2 linked regions of the Daphnia pulex genome follow. The protein of the gene in region 2 binds, or shares a complex with, the protein of the main gene of each other region. Links are inferred from orthologs where the notes say so. Each region holds a gene or a part of one and is shown on either strand. Other genes may lie near its edges.

Evidence for each region.
Region 1: the proteins of microfibrillar-associated protein 1-like (region 2) and pre-mRNA-splicing factor 38A-like are in contact, whole or in part, in a crystal structure (PDB 5F5S), measured with the Homo sapiens proteins. The link is inferred for Daphnia pulex from reciprocal best matches to the Homo sapiens genes MFAP1 and PRPF38A. Residues at the interface, in NP_005917.2 of Homo sapiens: Glu275, Tyr276, Trp279, Arg282, Glu283, Arg286, Arg289, Asp290, Arg294, Leu297, Glu298, Lys301; in NP_116253.2 of Homo sapiens: Tyr124, Asn125, Tyr127, Lys129, His143, Asp145, Glu146, Asp149, His153, Tyr169, Val170, Glu172.

What each region holds. Positions count from the first base shown.
Region 1 is NC_060022.1:2,881,207-2,888,753, reverse strand, and holds pre-mRNA-splicing factor 38A-like, read right to left. Parts: upstream 4,692-7,547; 5' UTR 4,547-4,691; coding exon 4,417-4,546; intron 4,352-4,416; coding exon 4,192-4,351; intron 4,127-4,191; coding exon 4,005-4,126; intron 3,969-4,004; exon of another isoform or gene 3,942-3,968; coding exon 3,856-3,941; exon of another isoform or gene 3,791-3,855; coding exon 3,200-3,790; 3' UTR 3,151-3,199; downstream 1-3,150. Other genes in the region: DNA repair and recombination protein RAD54-like, read right to left, coding at 1-141, 198-267, 334-533, 603-818, 886-888; mitochondrial import inner membrane translocase subunit Tim16-like, read left to right, coding at 4,996-5,154, 5,233-5,454; furin-like protease 1, read right to left, coding at 6,011-6,306, 6,365-6,574, 6,654-6,887, 7,012-7,222, 7,283-7,364, 7,454-7,547. UniProt on the Homo sapiens protein: Involved in pre-mRNA splicing as a component of the spliceosome.
Region 2 is NC_060019.1:11,263,725-11,271,542, forward strand, and holds microfibrillar-associated protein 1-like, read right to left. Parts: upstream 4,519-7,818; 5' UTR 4,376-4,518; exon of another isoform or gene 4,308-4,375; intron 3,595-4,307; 5' UTR 3,104-3,594; coding exon 2,886-3,103; intron 2,817-2,885; coding exon 2,498-2,816; intron 2,433-2,497; coding exon 2,354-2,432; intron 2,292-2,353; coding exon 2,134-2,291; intron 2,071-2,133; coding exon 1,744-2,070; intron 1,682-1,743; coding exon 1,403-1,681; 3' UTR 1,293-1,402; downstream 1-1,292. Other genes in the region: ADP-ribosylation factor 6, read left to right, coding at 5,632-5,713, 5,796-5,899, 5,972-6,170, 6,243-6,385; coiled-coil domain-containing protein 174-like, read right to left, coding at 7,448-7,818. UniProt on the Homo sapiens protein: Involved in pre-mRNA splicing as a component of the spliceosome.

The sequences.
Region 1 (7,547 bases), on a different chromosome or scaffold from region 2:
GTCTGGGCCTTGTTTGAGTAGTGTCCAAAGCAGGGTAATGCACTGCAAAGTTTTCCCCAATCCCATTTCATCAGCCATAATGCAACCATAATTGTTTTCAATGCATAGACCAGTGACACAGTCATACATGAACTTCACTCCCTAGCAATAGAAAATTAATAGAAGACCAGAATTACAGCAGCATAAGTGGAACTTACTTCACGTTGATGAGGTCTAAGTACTTTGGTCAATACTGGATCAACAACAACATGAACAGGATGTTTATCACTAACAAAAAATTTAAAGATGTGAAAATTTAATCCCCCAGTCTTTTCAAACTATTTAATATTGTACCTTATGGATGATTTCAGCTTGTCATGAGCAGACAGTTCTGGAGGGGAATATAAAATCAAAGCACCAGGTTCATCTGGGTCATGTAAAGCTTGTCGTACTCCAGCTCGTCTCATTCCAAGTGATTTGCTAAGGGTTGGCCCATTGTAGTTTGGTATTGGTATTTTGAATGGCTTTGACATAATCTTTTTGATAAGTTCTTCCTGTTAAATAGTTAATAGCTATAATTTTGAGGCAATAGAGTTAAGTAACTATTATAGTTAATGTTTTACATGGAATGACGATCCAGCCATTTCCGAATTGGTTTCAACTGGAAGACTACATTGAGCAAGTGGTTTACGAAATGGAGAAAGAAACTCTGAAGCTCTGTCTATTATTTGTGTCTTCTTATTCTTGCCTCCTTTCTTCTTTTCTGACCAAGCTGGGTCATCATCTTCATCGTATTTTCGTTTAACTTGAACCAACTGACTTGGGGCCAAACTCCGTCTCTATCATTGTAAAATTGAGTAAAAATATAACAAAAATGTTAAAATTCAAGAAGAATTCATCACAAACCATTTTATTAATCCCTTCACTTTGTTCTCTTTCTCGTGTTGAATCGCGCCTTAAAAATACAAACACAAAGGTGAATGCATCGTGCTTATGCAGTTACTCTAATAATGATTACTCGAAAGGGTTTCTTTTGCTTGTGACGTTGTCGAATGTCTCACTAGATGGGCTTTCAAGCGAAAATATTTAAGCTGTCCGCATTGGCGCATTCTGTCAGTAGTCTTTGCAGAGGATGGTCGAAAAAAGTTCAACCCGTTCAACGGCGAGGCGAGGCGAGGCGACTCGTTATTAGTTTCCAGAAAATCGTGTCGTCATTAACTTGTTAGTGTTATTATGTGAGATAACCAAGTACTTAACCACAGTACCAGATATAATAGAAACTATTGTTAATTCAGTTTTGTTTCTTATTAATCAGAGAACAGAAGGATGAACAAAGCTTACAGACCAAAATCTAAAATTGGAAATTAATGATGCACTGCAATTTCAGGTGATTTCCGGTTCCGATTTGTGTAAGAGGATTTCTTTTGATTGTCCACTTCACGAATTGAATTGACTGAAACATCATCCAAGCTCAATTTAGATTTTGGAGGCGATAGCAAATTAAGAATTCACCAGGTGGGAAAATGGTAACACATGTTATTTATTTTCCTAATTAAAATAGAGAATCTTTTGCTGGTTGTTATTCCATTCGAGTAAAACTTTATTTTTTTCCATCTTCCAACAGGTTCATTCAAAGTTAACAGCAAACACACATTTGATTTGTTTTTAAAAAGGAAGTCCATGCTGTCCTATAAAATATTCTACCTCAGTTTCCTCAAGTCCTTAAGGTATCACAACTCCCCTATTCAATTCCCCCTAGATTAACTGTGTTTAAATATTTTCTTAGCTTTTGCATTATGTTTGGTTGTTTATTTGTGCTTGTTTTTATTACATCAAATTGTTTTTCTTTCGAAGGCTCATAACAGCCATAACAGGTAATATTTCGCGCTGTTTGGTGTTTCAAACGTGGGACCATCAATCAACCTAAGAACAAAGCCCCTGGTTTTTCCTCAAGAAGCTGGTAGATATTAAACATTTTACTTAGATCTGTTTTATCCAATAACCGTTTGATTTATTCGACAGGTTTTAACCAATTCGAAAAGGTACTTTGCAATAAATAATAAACCGGATTTCAAGCCATATATACACCGTTTCTGCAGCTTGCACCTGATCTGGCAGGCCGTCGGAACTCTATTAAGTTTATCTGAGAACCATCGGTACTTTGCCTAGACAGCGTCCTGGAGAAACTACTACTCCACTGCACCGCCTTCGAAGAAATTATGTGGTGTGTACATTCCCCTTTCGATAACTAAAGGATTCGAAGAACTCTCTTCATTTTCTAGGATACTTTCTGAGGTAGCGTTCGGTCTTTTTTTGTCTACATCTGCAATCTACATCTTCTCTCAGTGTCTAGAAAAAAAAATGGTGGAATTTCGATTCTATCAAAGACACTTACACCATCTAGTGGACATAGTTTTTAGCCAACGAGTGATCTAATGGCAATACATTTTATAGCTGGAAAAATGATGTCCAGTTCCAGTAAAAGAAAAGAAACCATGAAGATCCCACACATCACAGATCATTTAAATTTTAGTCAGACCACGTTAAAAAGGATTGGAAGCTGGTGTCGTCTGCATCTCCGAGGCCGTAGTACCGTAATCCGTGTTGAGCTTTTATCTTATAGGACGAGACTACGAGATCTTTAGCCTAACTAGTAACTACGGTACTGAGGAAAAATTGTAAGTGACGAAAAATAATAGGAAAAATTTCAAATGAGGAACAAGTCCTTTTCTGATTGTTATTCTTGCAACGGCTGATGCTTCGTAAGTTCTTAACGAAAGGAAATTTTGGAAAAATTATCTCAAAAAATAAAAATCACCATAAATTCATACTGGTGCACCAGCCAATCATGAAGTCATTACTGCGCGCCGAGGGCAATAATAGTTTTTCGGGATCCGTGAACAGATATAAACTTTTTCGCCATTTTACAAAGAATTCAGAAAACGGGGTCAACATTAAATAGTAGTGTCAAAATGATGATTGATCTACAAATTTGTGTTTAAAATGTCTGTTGGGATCAGCTAATACTTACCTTGTTTTTGACTCTTTTACATTTGCAATAACGAACACCGTCTCACTTAGGAAGAATCCTAAGTTCTTGTCTAAGTTGAAGTCTGCACATCCAACACAAGAAATAAGAATAAAGAATCAGATAGACCTCGGAATAATAAGGAAATGAAAAGAGTGTTTATTACAAAACGATTAGAAAAAAGACAGCAGATTACGGTCGCAAAGGAGCCAGCCCCAACTTAGCTCGCAAGGCATTCGCTTCTGCAATTTCAGGATCGATGGCAGCACTGGAACTGCTACTCTTTTTGCTATCTTTCTTTTTGTTGTTGTACTTGTCACGATCTTCGCCTCTTTTGCTTCGATCTCGTTCTGATTCACGATCTTTCCCGCGGTCCTTGCGGTCTCTACGATCCCTGTCTTGGTCTCTTCTGTAGTCACGCGAACGTTCGACTGAGCGGCTTCGCTGGCGGCGACTTCGATCCCTTTCTCTTTCACGACTGCGGTCCCTGTCACGCTCACGGCTGCGATTCCTTTTGTCACGACTTCGACTTCTGTCTCTATGTCGATCACGTCTTTCCCTACTTCTCTCTCGTTCACGTTCTTTATCCCTATTACGACGAGAACGTTCCCGTTCTCGATCACTGTCCTGCTTTGAACGCGATGTAGTAGGAGGGGGCGACAACGAACCTCCTTTCCTTTCACCCTCTTCTTCTTCACTTTCTGAATCTTCTTCCTCCAAGTCTTCTTCCAAAGCTGATACTCTCGGCTCAACTTCATTAGCTTCTTCCAGAATTTGACGTTTCTGAAAGTAAAATAAACCGTATTTAATCAGTATTTTTTAGGTTGAATACTAATTCACATTTATACCTGAAGTCTGGGCAGGATAACATCACAAAAACGCTCTTCTCTCAGTAAACTATCAATGAAATCATCCATGTAAAGAAGCTCAAAATCTAAATAAAACCACATGTTAATTTGCAGTATTCTTTTTAAAAATATCTTATTTTTATTATTACTTCCTTCCTTGTTTTGAAACCGAATTTTTCTGTAATCATTGTAAAGTGGTTCTAAATATTTATAGATTTCCACAGATGTTCCAACAAGTCTCATGTAGAATGCTCCCAAGGCACGGACATATCTATAATGATACATTATATTAGGTGATTTCCTGTATAACTTGTCTGTTTTGGTCAAAGAACTTACTTGAAATCTTCATTTTTTATAAACTCCACTACAATGTCCTTTTCTGGTTGGATTTGAAGCATTTTTAGTGTAAGTGAGAGAAATGGAGTAGGTTTAACATTACCACCAAATATTCCACCAATGTACCTTAATTCCATGGCCTTATCCACCATCAACTCAGCTAAAAAAATACATATACATAAATAAAATGAGTGCATCAAAACACAAGTAAAATTTTCAATATACCTGTCAAAGCAAAGCATTCTTCTTTCCAGTACTTTGAATCATAAATTCGAGTTCTAATAATCTTTTCAACCAAGTATTGAGGATTTGTTCCTTTAACAGAAATTGCCTCTTTGATTGTTCGATTAGCCATTTTGAATTAATCTAAAACACTAGATGTGTACAGTCAAAAGAATAATCATTGAAATTTAACTGTGTTGATAAAAAGTAAAACTTTGTCGGCATTAGCAACGGAACGACAGAACGACGCTTGAATCCGTCGTCTGCTACGGACAGACAGAGACATCAAGTGGTCAAGTGGGTGGGGCGATCAATTCATCAATTGAAAAGAAAATTTTATCGTTATTTAGTTTACTTTTATGAAATATTTTTATATTTTTAACAAATCAATCACTTAAGTTATTTAAGATTTTTCAAACTAAATTTTTTAAACTGACCTGTCTGTTCTGAGAGAAGAGTCTTCATTTTTTTCTGTAGCTTTTCCGTTTGTTTTTCGCCTGCTAAACATTCCAGTATACTACCTTGATACTACTACAGACGTAAATCATCACGTAATCATTTTGAATCTATCTCGCCACGGTTATGGCAAAATATTTGGCCCAAATAATTGTTATGGGGGGCCAGGTTATTGGGCGAGCGTTTGCTAGAGCTCTTAAACAAGAATATCAAGCTAGCCAGGAAGCTGCCAAAAGAGCTGGTGGTGGGAAAGCCGGCGCATCACGTGTAGAAGCTAACTTCAAGGTTTGTTTGTTACACACAAAAGTTATGTAATATCAGTAAATTTTAAAAAGTTAACATGTTTTTTTTTTCATTCTGTAGACAGGCATGACCCTTGAGGAAGCAAAAGAAATCTTGAATGTGGATAAATTAGAACCTGAGTTGGTGCAGAAGAACTATGATCACTTGTTCCAAGTTAATGACAAGACGAAAGGTGGTTCATTCTACCTTCAATCTAAAGTATACAGAGCTAAAGAACGACTTGACCAAGAAATGAAACATGAAACAAAAAAACAAGAACCGTCAAAAGAAAATAAAATGTAACCTTCTCCAAAACGACAGTTAAGGTTATGGAAATTATCTGGAATTTATCTTTGTAGTCAAATTGAAAAATTGTACATATAGGGATAACTAATAAAAATCATTTTTTATAACCTTTTTTATTCTAATATTATAGAATCCTTATGCATATTTTTTTATTGTGATGTGATGTATAAACATTTTTTCAGGTATGATTTTAATTTAGTAGGCTTTGTTCTTACCTTTATATTTGAATCATATATTTTAGTGAAAACTTTAATCTTAACACAACTTGTGATTGCTGCAAATTTATTTCACTATACATTTACCAAGCTCATTTAATTATTTGTTTTATATGCATTAGGCCTTCTATAGCAAACACGGTTTTTACCAGTTTTTACAATGACTGACGACGACAATCAATATGGTATCCGTTAGAATGTAATTTATTACAGAATCTGGCAAACCGCTCATTCAAATATTTATAGAACCTTTTTACAAATATAATCTTTACATTTTATAAATATTAAAAACTGACATTTTATCTTCTAAACAATGTTGACTTTAGAACTTTTACTCTTTAAACTGATTTTTCGGCGCCAATAGGTGGAGGAAGATTTGCGCTTGTTTGTGTCAACAGATCGTAGTCACCTTGCCTGTGGTTCGTTTCCCGTTCGTTGCTGCCGCTACAACAGTTTAAAACAAAAGAAGAACTGAAACTCTTTTTAGTGCACATCATGTAAATCGTTAAAGCCATCACGAGTGCTAAATTAAACGCCAGAGCCAGTTCGACACCCACGGACCAGTTTTCGTAGCCCGTTAATTGCTTTACGAGTTCATGCGGATAACAGTGCGATTCTGGTTCTATTTGGGATCCTACGGTGAAACAACATTTGTTAATAGATTTTTCAAACATAGGTCTAACCATCAGTACCTGGTATAGAAACAAACTTGAGCTGTGAATCAGGATAGCATGAAGTGCACTGAGAATCACTTGGTCCTCTGCAGTAAAGACAAGAATAGTGGCACGGAACGCATACACCGCTAAGGAGACCATTTAGTTCGGTGCGATTCATTGGATGTGAAGCATTCGGACAGACTGCCAAGCACTTGCCCTCCCACAAATAGGAACCACTTTCACACCCTGGGAGCCACAGCAGAAGAGGTATAATGGATTCAAATATGGTATGTTAATCAATCATGCTAAGTTAATCAAGTAGTACCTCTAAGACTTCTGCTAACGGTCGTCATTAAGAGAGTTTGGGGCAATTCTGCTTCACGGTTTTTCTCCACGTTAAGTCCCGATGATAGAAGAGGCTGCTGAATTTGACTATCTTTTGAGACGAATTCAGCAACCGATTGTTTCACTGGTTGAATGGGAATGTCATCAGATGATAATTGGGACTCTGGGTGTTCCTTGGTTCCGTACGCTATTAGAGTCCATCCTATCAATGTCGCTACAATTTTGAAATATTCCAGAAACTAGGTTAATCTTTAAGTTGTGTTTTTGAGTTTTAAGGAGCAAATTACATATTGATTAAGACTAAGGATGTAAAGGAAAATTCATATCAGATAACTCACCAGGAAATCGGCCTTCATTTTGTATCTCAAGAGTCCAAACGCCAAAAGGACTTTCGCCCCAAAAATGAACCGACATAAAAGGCCACGAATGAAAACCGTTACGAGAATTGTCTAAAGGGCGACGCTGAAGAAGCGTTGAACGAGTTCCTGAAGGAGACGTTAGGAAAATTTGAATCTCTCCTCGGTTCGCCGCAGATAGGGAAATCAATACCTAAAATAAGCAAGCTGACAATGACGTACAAAGTTTAAATTTGTTTTTAAATCAAAATACCTGAAGATGCTCTATAACGTTGACATTTCCACACTCTCGCAAAAATAAATGCAGTTTGCTCAAGCTTTTGGCTGCGATTATCCTAAAACACAAAGTAGATAAATCAAATCACTCGTTAACACGCATACGTAACTGAAGTCCTTTGCGCCACATTTATCAGGTTAAACTTACGTGTTGGTATCAGCAGCTTTAATTTCGCAAAACTGTTGTGGAGGAACACTTTTCCAGACCCGTGCTAGGCGGACCATTGCTCCTGCGTCCATGA
Region 2 (7,818 bases):
AGAATATCAAAAGACATTTTAACTGAATTGTGAGTGCGAAAAAATACTTGGTATTTTCGTGTTCAGTTTCACTCGGTGCTTTGTCATCACATGAATGAACTGACAATGAAAAAGTAATTGATTTAAGAGGGGAAAGAATTGGCACATGGTGCGGCGTCAATCAAAGATCCTTTAAGAGCGGAATATGGAAGCGCCTTGTCCTTTGATGATGGGTTGCTTTAGGTTCCAACGCCGCGGAGATAATCATAAACAAAGTTAACCACTCCTCTTTTTGACTACCAGTATTTTCCTATTTTGTAACATCTATCTCCCCTCGACGATGACGAATGGTTCTGTCACGAATGTAAAAAATAAATACCTTATTATGTAGTCTCATGTATACACACCCAGAATTGAACTTATTATGTGAAATATATTGTGTTAAATTTGAGTAGAAAGTAAACCTACTGTTTTTGTTTATACACACTCAACTTCTTTCATTATTAAATGATATCGAGGAACATTCTTCTTATGTGATATAAAGTCATGATCAGGTCGTAAACGTAAAGAAATAGCGAAAACCCCTAATCCTGCAAACCTTAAAACTTTTATAGATGAAATAAGTAAAATCTCACTTTTCAAACATGATACATTTTTTTTCAAAATGTCAAACACTAATTTCTTGAAGCCATCAGGTTTGTTTTTCATTTGGGGAAATCTCAAAAACTCATCACATGCTGTTGACCTGTTGTACGATATTGTAACAAAGGTGAAACCACAGATCAGTGCATAACTCCCTCTTCTTTCACACTATAATTGAAGCTTGAATGAAAGACAGACTCTGAACTCAGGCTGAATGGTATTTATGTTAAACACAGAATCAGTCGTTATTTGCCATTCGTCGCCATAAATTTCCGGAGTGCAATAGCCACTTTTGACGCTAGAGGACTCCGGACTCCGGATTGCAATAGCCACTTATGACACTAGAGCGCTCCGGACCCCGGAGTGCAATAGGCGTGACCCAAAACAATATCCTGACATGGCCTACTTGACTTCTAGGCCGGCGTCCGACTGTTCGAGCTATCCCTTAGTGTAACTTTTTACACCCCCATGACCCCATCCCAACCCAGCCCGGTACACAGCACATCTAGCGGGTGCGAAAAAAGTTTTCTCAGCCCAGAAGGAGCCAGGACCAGAAAGACAAAGACCAGCAGAGAAGAGAACTACTAAGTATAGGGTAATCTAAGATTTAAAATTTTACTACAAGCAGTGACTGAAAAAAAAAGATTACCCCTTCCTTTAGATACATTGAATGTCTGGAAACATGTTTAATTCACGTACGATTGATGGTTTGCATGTATCAACCACAAAGATGAGACATTGTTACAAAATTCAATTTCAAATATAAAAACAGTGCCACAACTCAAGTACCCGAGTTATTGTTCTTCTTCAAAGCAGGCCTTTCGAACACTTGTTTTACTCCACCAGCATGCTGTGTGTAGAATTTCAAATTCTGAGCAGTATGCGTGGCCCACGGTGCGTCGGCTTGTGATGTATCTTGATCCACCAAATGTGTGTATTTGGTTCGACCACTGCGACCGAAATTCTTAACTTGCATCACTTTAGGCAGAACAGTCTTATCGAAGTGATCTTCAAGAGTTGGCACAGCAAAATCGCGTTTGAAAACTTCCTTGTCTTCGTCCTGTTAGAGTAAGAGTTTAAATTATTTTTAAAATCCCAAATATCTTTAAAAGCTGAACTTACGAGGTAAAAGGCACCGCGATGATAGTATTTCTGTAGGAACTTATATTTGCCCTTTGGTGCCTTGTTTGTGACTTCCTTTGGATTGTTCTTGAATTCCAGTCGCCGTTCTTCTTCGGTCATATTACGGATACGTTCAATTTCTTGTCGTTCTCTTTCTTCTGCCTCTCTTTCATCTCGGTCACGCTTATTGCGTTTAAGTTCACGTAATTTCCAGGTCTCGTATTCGAGTTCTTCATCCTCGGCATCCGTCAACACCGACAAGATTCCTGATTCAAGGTCTTTTTCGTCTTTGGCTTGCATTTCTTTTCTGACTTCTTCTTCAACAACCTGTTTAATAGATTTTTAATGCTTTTTTAGTTCAAAAAGTGTATAAATTTAAAAATGGTTTACCTTTAAGGTATAGCGGCGACGTTCTTCGGCAAGCTTTTTAGCTTCAAGTTCCATAAGCTTTTGTTTTTGCAATTCCTTTTCCTTCTCAGCTATGGTTATACGTTCTTTCTTGCTAACGAAGATGGGCTTCAGTCTTGGACCCGTTTCTTCCTCAGAATCTAGGATAAAAAACACAACAGATTTAGAGTCTTGTTCACATCAAGGGACTTTTATTTCAAACCTGTATATTCTTCATATTCTGAAGCTTCGTCATCTTCATCTTCCTCACTTTCCTTCTCCTCCTCTCTTGCCAACAACTCCTACAACAAAATTTGCAATTGAATTGAATTGATCAATGATCATACTACAAAGTATATTAACTTACTTCTTCTTGCTGTTTAATAACAGCCTTCTGACGTGCAATCATTCTTCTGCGCTCAATGTCATCTTCATCAAGATCTTCTGCCTCATCCTCTTCTTCACTTGATTCCCATCTTCGGGCATTTTTGCTAAAACTTACTTCTTCACTTTCTAAATGAGGTGTTACTTCATCTTCTTCTGTTCCAATAATTTCAGGCTCATGGATATGACGATGCCTTTCAATTCTATGGTCGTCAACTTCACGATTTAAAAGACGTTTTAATCTTCTGTCACTGTGAGCAGTAAGTGGAAGATCTGGGGTTTCGTCCCATTCTTTTTCAGGACTACAATTTAATCAAATTTTTTAAATATACAAGCATATAAATACATATCTACAATCAATAATTTAATACCTTTCTTCTACTGGTCTTCCTCTTGCCTGCTTTCTTGGTCTGATAAACTCTTCTTCATCACTATCATCTGAAGATGAATGTGTAGTAGCGTAGTCTGGTCGTTTGCCTGATACGTAACGATTGACTTTAACTTTTTGCATAGATATCTCCCCTTTGTCATTTTTCACAGGGATAGCACCCGCGGTTGAAAGGATAGGGACCACTTTGGATGACGACATTTTCACAAAAAATTGTCTTAATCTTAATACGGAACGACCATATACACGCGTTTGTTGTCTGAATTTTCACTCAATGTTTTTTTCGTTGCCATTGCATACTCTATTCAGGGCCAGTGGGCCACTCATCGGATCACCAGAGTGCAGAGTCCTCTGTTGGCGAATGAAATTGAAGACGACTACTGCGCCATCTAAGAACTTAAATTGAAATAAAGAATGACGTGACTTTTGCCGTCTCCTATGGCACGTAATATTGTATGACATGTTATTGCAGACTGTGACCAGTACCCAGCAATTGATGTTGCTGTAATCCACTGAAAATCTGATTATGCTGCTTCTAGGCAACACAATGCAAACACGATAGTTTTATCTGAGTTTTATTAGCTGATAGCAGGATCAGGATAAAGAGGCCGTGACCAAAATCCATGGAGACCTTTCGCCAAGTTCTATCCAGGGATTGGCAACCGTGAGGAATCTCGTTTACCTTGAAGTGCCTAAGAATCACGAAATAAATCTGAGAAAATTAATGTCGGAATTTAGGAATTTGGACCTCATTATGACGTTACAATAAATCACTCATTTATTGTATATAGCAACTACCTACTTACTACTTACTTTGTAGGAAATTACTTATGTCGTAGCTAGATTTTACACATCGCACTATTTGATCGCAATGGCGGTGGTTTTACGAGTTTCAGCTTATTATCAACTGTTTCGAAACACCAAAGTATTCAAAGCTCCGCATGACTTCGTGCAGTTTTCACCGGATCGTCGAAGATATTGAACTCAAGGACATCGATTAGACACACACTTCAAAATTTACCTCACGCTATATTCCACTAAATATATCCGCTCGAAAGTTTAACCGAATATTTTTGGTGGTTCTACCGCTTTTTTTTTATCGTCATAGCATAATAATGTGCGGTTTCGAAATTCTACTTCGATGTCTCCATTTTATTTCTTAATAAATAACTGTTTTGTACTGTAATAAAAGAAAGGAGCTAAAATAAATCTTTCCAGGCAACAAGCACTAGTGTGCTTATTTATAGAAAAATACCTAACCAGTAATAAGTATTGTGGGAGAAAAGCAAATCTTTTGAGTAGTCAAGTACACATGTGTCCGAAAAGCAACAACAAGAAATAACAATCCATCAAAAAAACGTCATAACATGGTGGCGGTGACTGTATAGAAACACTATGTACAAACCATGAACATATTTATGGTGAATATGCTTCTTTTGGAAAAAAAACAAAAGACTACGGCTAGCGGCTTACATGGTGAAATGTTTCAGTTGTAAAATGAGTAATTCAGCTTCCTTAAATGCACTTTGATAGCCGAGACAACCTGTTAGCTGTTGCTGCGGGGGGTTAAGGGAGGAGATAGGGATCCGGCTTGAGGCATTTTGTCGACTTCCGGCAACCTAAAAAGAAAAATGTGTTCATGAATTTCAACTTTTCTTTCGTAATCTTGACGCCAGAGACCGCTACTTAAATTGAAATTATAGACGTCGCTACTAAACACTTGCCGTATTGCCGATCAAATTTTTAGAAATGTTAGAAACTGCTAAATAAATTTTCCCCTTTCGAACCAATGAATCCTGCATTAAAAATTATAATAAAATAATTTATCACTCGTTGTTTCAATAATACATTTTAAAGATGTGGGAGGGAACACGTTGACGGTTAGGGAATGGTTTTGAAATCGAATCAAATCGAAGCTTGGGTGGGCGGATCAGAAGGTGGGCAGAAAAGGGGACACTGGCTGTCAGTGTTGGAATTCCATCTGCTCAATTACACTGGTGTGTGTATGTCATTCCTCTCGTTATTCCACTTGAATAAGTGTAATAATAGAAATAATTGATTAGTTGAGTGGAATGTGTTAAAGTCTGAAATAGCTAGTTGTTTTCAGACGCCGCCGTCACCAAAATTGGAAGAAGGAAAAAAAAGCCATCTGGTGAGATGCAAGGAGTACTATTCTGTCTGTTCATTACATTGGAAGGCCCGAGTTTTTTGGATCTTCTGAAGACTTGCAAAGATATCGGGAAGACCGGGTCGGGTGTTTGGGCGGCTAACTGAAGTGACAGGTGCCTTTTTATCTGAAGAAGCAAAGAAACTATTTATTTTCGCCTGTTTCCAACGCCTTCCATCGATTTCTTAGTGCTCACATCAAAAACAAAATAGTGTTTGTGCAAATAACGACTCCGGTTCATAGGAATGCCTTCGAAAATACTTCCATATTACAGCTAAAATTCCAGTAAACGTCATTGTTGAGTCTACATTAAAGTAAGTGGAAAACCTGATCTGATAATAGTATGTTAGCTAGTATGCTGTAAATGACTGAGCAAAGTCTGTTTATTTTTTTCTGATAACAACTTTTGCCACAAATGTCACTGAAAAGTTACCAAACTAGTTTGACACTTCAGTTCTACAGATGTGGATAAACTATATGGCTGTGGCTGACAGGGTCATTTTGTTGCTTGAAATAAAGTTCTTTTCTTGTAAAACAGCTTGTTAGTGAGCTGATTAGGAGAATGGGGAAAATACTGTCCAAAATATTCGGAAACAAGGAAATGAGGATACTCATGCTGGGGCTGGATGCAGCTGGAAAAACAAGTGAGATAAAGAATTTTATGTGTTGTCTGATAGCATTGGTTTTTTTCCAAGTTATACTTATTATTTTTGTTTTTCAAAATAGCAATTCTATACAAGCTGAAATTAGGACAGTCAGTCACAACAATTCCCACCGTTGGATTCAATGTTGAAACTGTAACATATAAAAATGTCAAATTCAATGTTTGGGTAAGCTAGTTCCTTTTGACCTCACCCATCAAATTTCTAAACCCAACACTAAAATATGAATCATTACTGCAGGATGTTGGTGGCCAAGATAAGATCCGCCCACTGTGGCGACACTATTATACTGGTACCCAAGGTTTGATATTCGTTGTGGACTGCGCAGATCGAGATCGAATTGACGAAGCTAGACAAGAACTTCATAGGATCATAAACGATCGTGAGATGCGTGATGCCATCATCCTTATATTTGCAAATAAACAAGACCTCCAGGATGGTGAGTATTTTACAATTATTATAATTGAGACTGTGGAACCCCAATTTATTCACGACATTTTCATGTTGACAGCCATGAAACCACACGAAATTCAAGAAAAACTGGGGCTGACTCGTATTCGTGATCGGAACTGGTACGTCCAGCCAGCATGTGCCACAACAGGCGACGGCTTGTATGAAGGACTAACGTGGTTAACATCTAATCACAAATCGTAATGAATCATTCGTTCAAGTGCTGTGTATAACAAAATTCAACAAGGTCGTGGGGCGTAGAGGAAAGATTTAGGAAACAAATAACTAAGACTATATGATTGAAGATGGCATCTCACTGCAATAGTGTGTTGCCAAAGTGCGCTATGGCATCAAATAATCAATACCGTACCGGACGCGAGGGCAGCCCACAGTTAATTTGAAACAAAACAAAAATATTGTGGGGTCTGTTCTCACGAAGCCCACAACACGAGCTCTTCCAAAATTGTTGTGCTGAATGAAAAAAAAAAAAAAACTTGACGACGACGACAAATCCTCCTCCTCTTCTGTTTCAAACTTTGGGTTGTATTGCATAAATTTGCATCCGTTTGATTCCCGCGTCCGTTTATGTTTTACTCTTTTCATAATCGATTGTTTCTCCCATCCCCTGTTATGTGTAAGTTTTGCTCCTAAAATTTTCAACCATTCCCCATATCCCTCGAGTTCGGCCTCCACCATCTCTTTTCCGGTCCCCCCTATTTTAATCCCTTTTTTACTCAATTGCATTAGAATGTTGAATCTAGCCCACAGTGTGTAGATGTATGATGAATGCGCGGTAAAAATTTTTTTGCTTGTACCTAAGTAAATATAATTACATAATTTGTTCCAGTTTTTATTTTACCGAATGCCGGACTTGCTAAACTCCCTTTTGATTACTCGGTCGTCCTCTGAAAAACAAAAATAACAGTCGCGACTTCTTGACACTGCCTCTAATACATGGATCTATGACATGTTGAAAGTTGATTTTCTAGGTCATTTGTCGAACGTTAACACCGCCTGATCAAACAAGAATTAGGGCGAGTCATTTGCAGGATGCACGGGTTTTCGAATCGCCTTTTTCGAAAACTCCGTTATCCAACTGGCCATCCGTTGTCCTCATTTTCAAATTCAACCATTCTCTTGTCAATAAAAGAAAAGGGCGCTCCTCTATTAATGTGTGTCCGGTAGTAGTAGTAACCAGACAATATAACCCTTCAGGGACAATTTGTGGTGTAGTATATTGTGAGCAAGCATATGGTGTCCAATGTCTTATTGAGAAAAATCCCACTTGGGACGAGTCGCTCCTTTCGCTGGTGACGAGTTGTCATCACCAGCATTTTTCCGTTGGTTGATACCTACACTGAATGACTGTGATACATCCGTCCGGTGGCTAGACACGCCTCTTCGTGCTGACGAGTTGTTGTAATAGTCCATGGAGGAGGGTGGTGCAATTTCAGCTCCTCGACTTGGCACTGATCGCCATCTAGATGAAGGCTCTGCTACGTGGGGTTCGTCCGTCTCCCCAGGAGGCATTAAATCATCGTCGTTTTCTTCTTCTTCTTCAACGACGTCTTTTTTCCCATCATATCTATTGGGAGGCGATGGCTGTACGCCAGACCTGCTGGGAAATTGCATCTGCT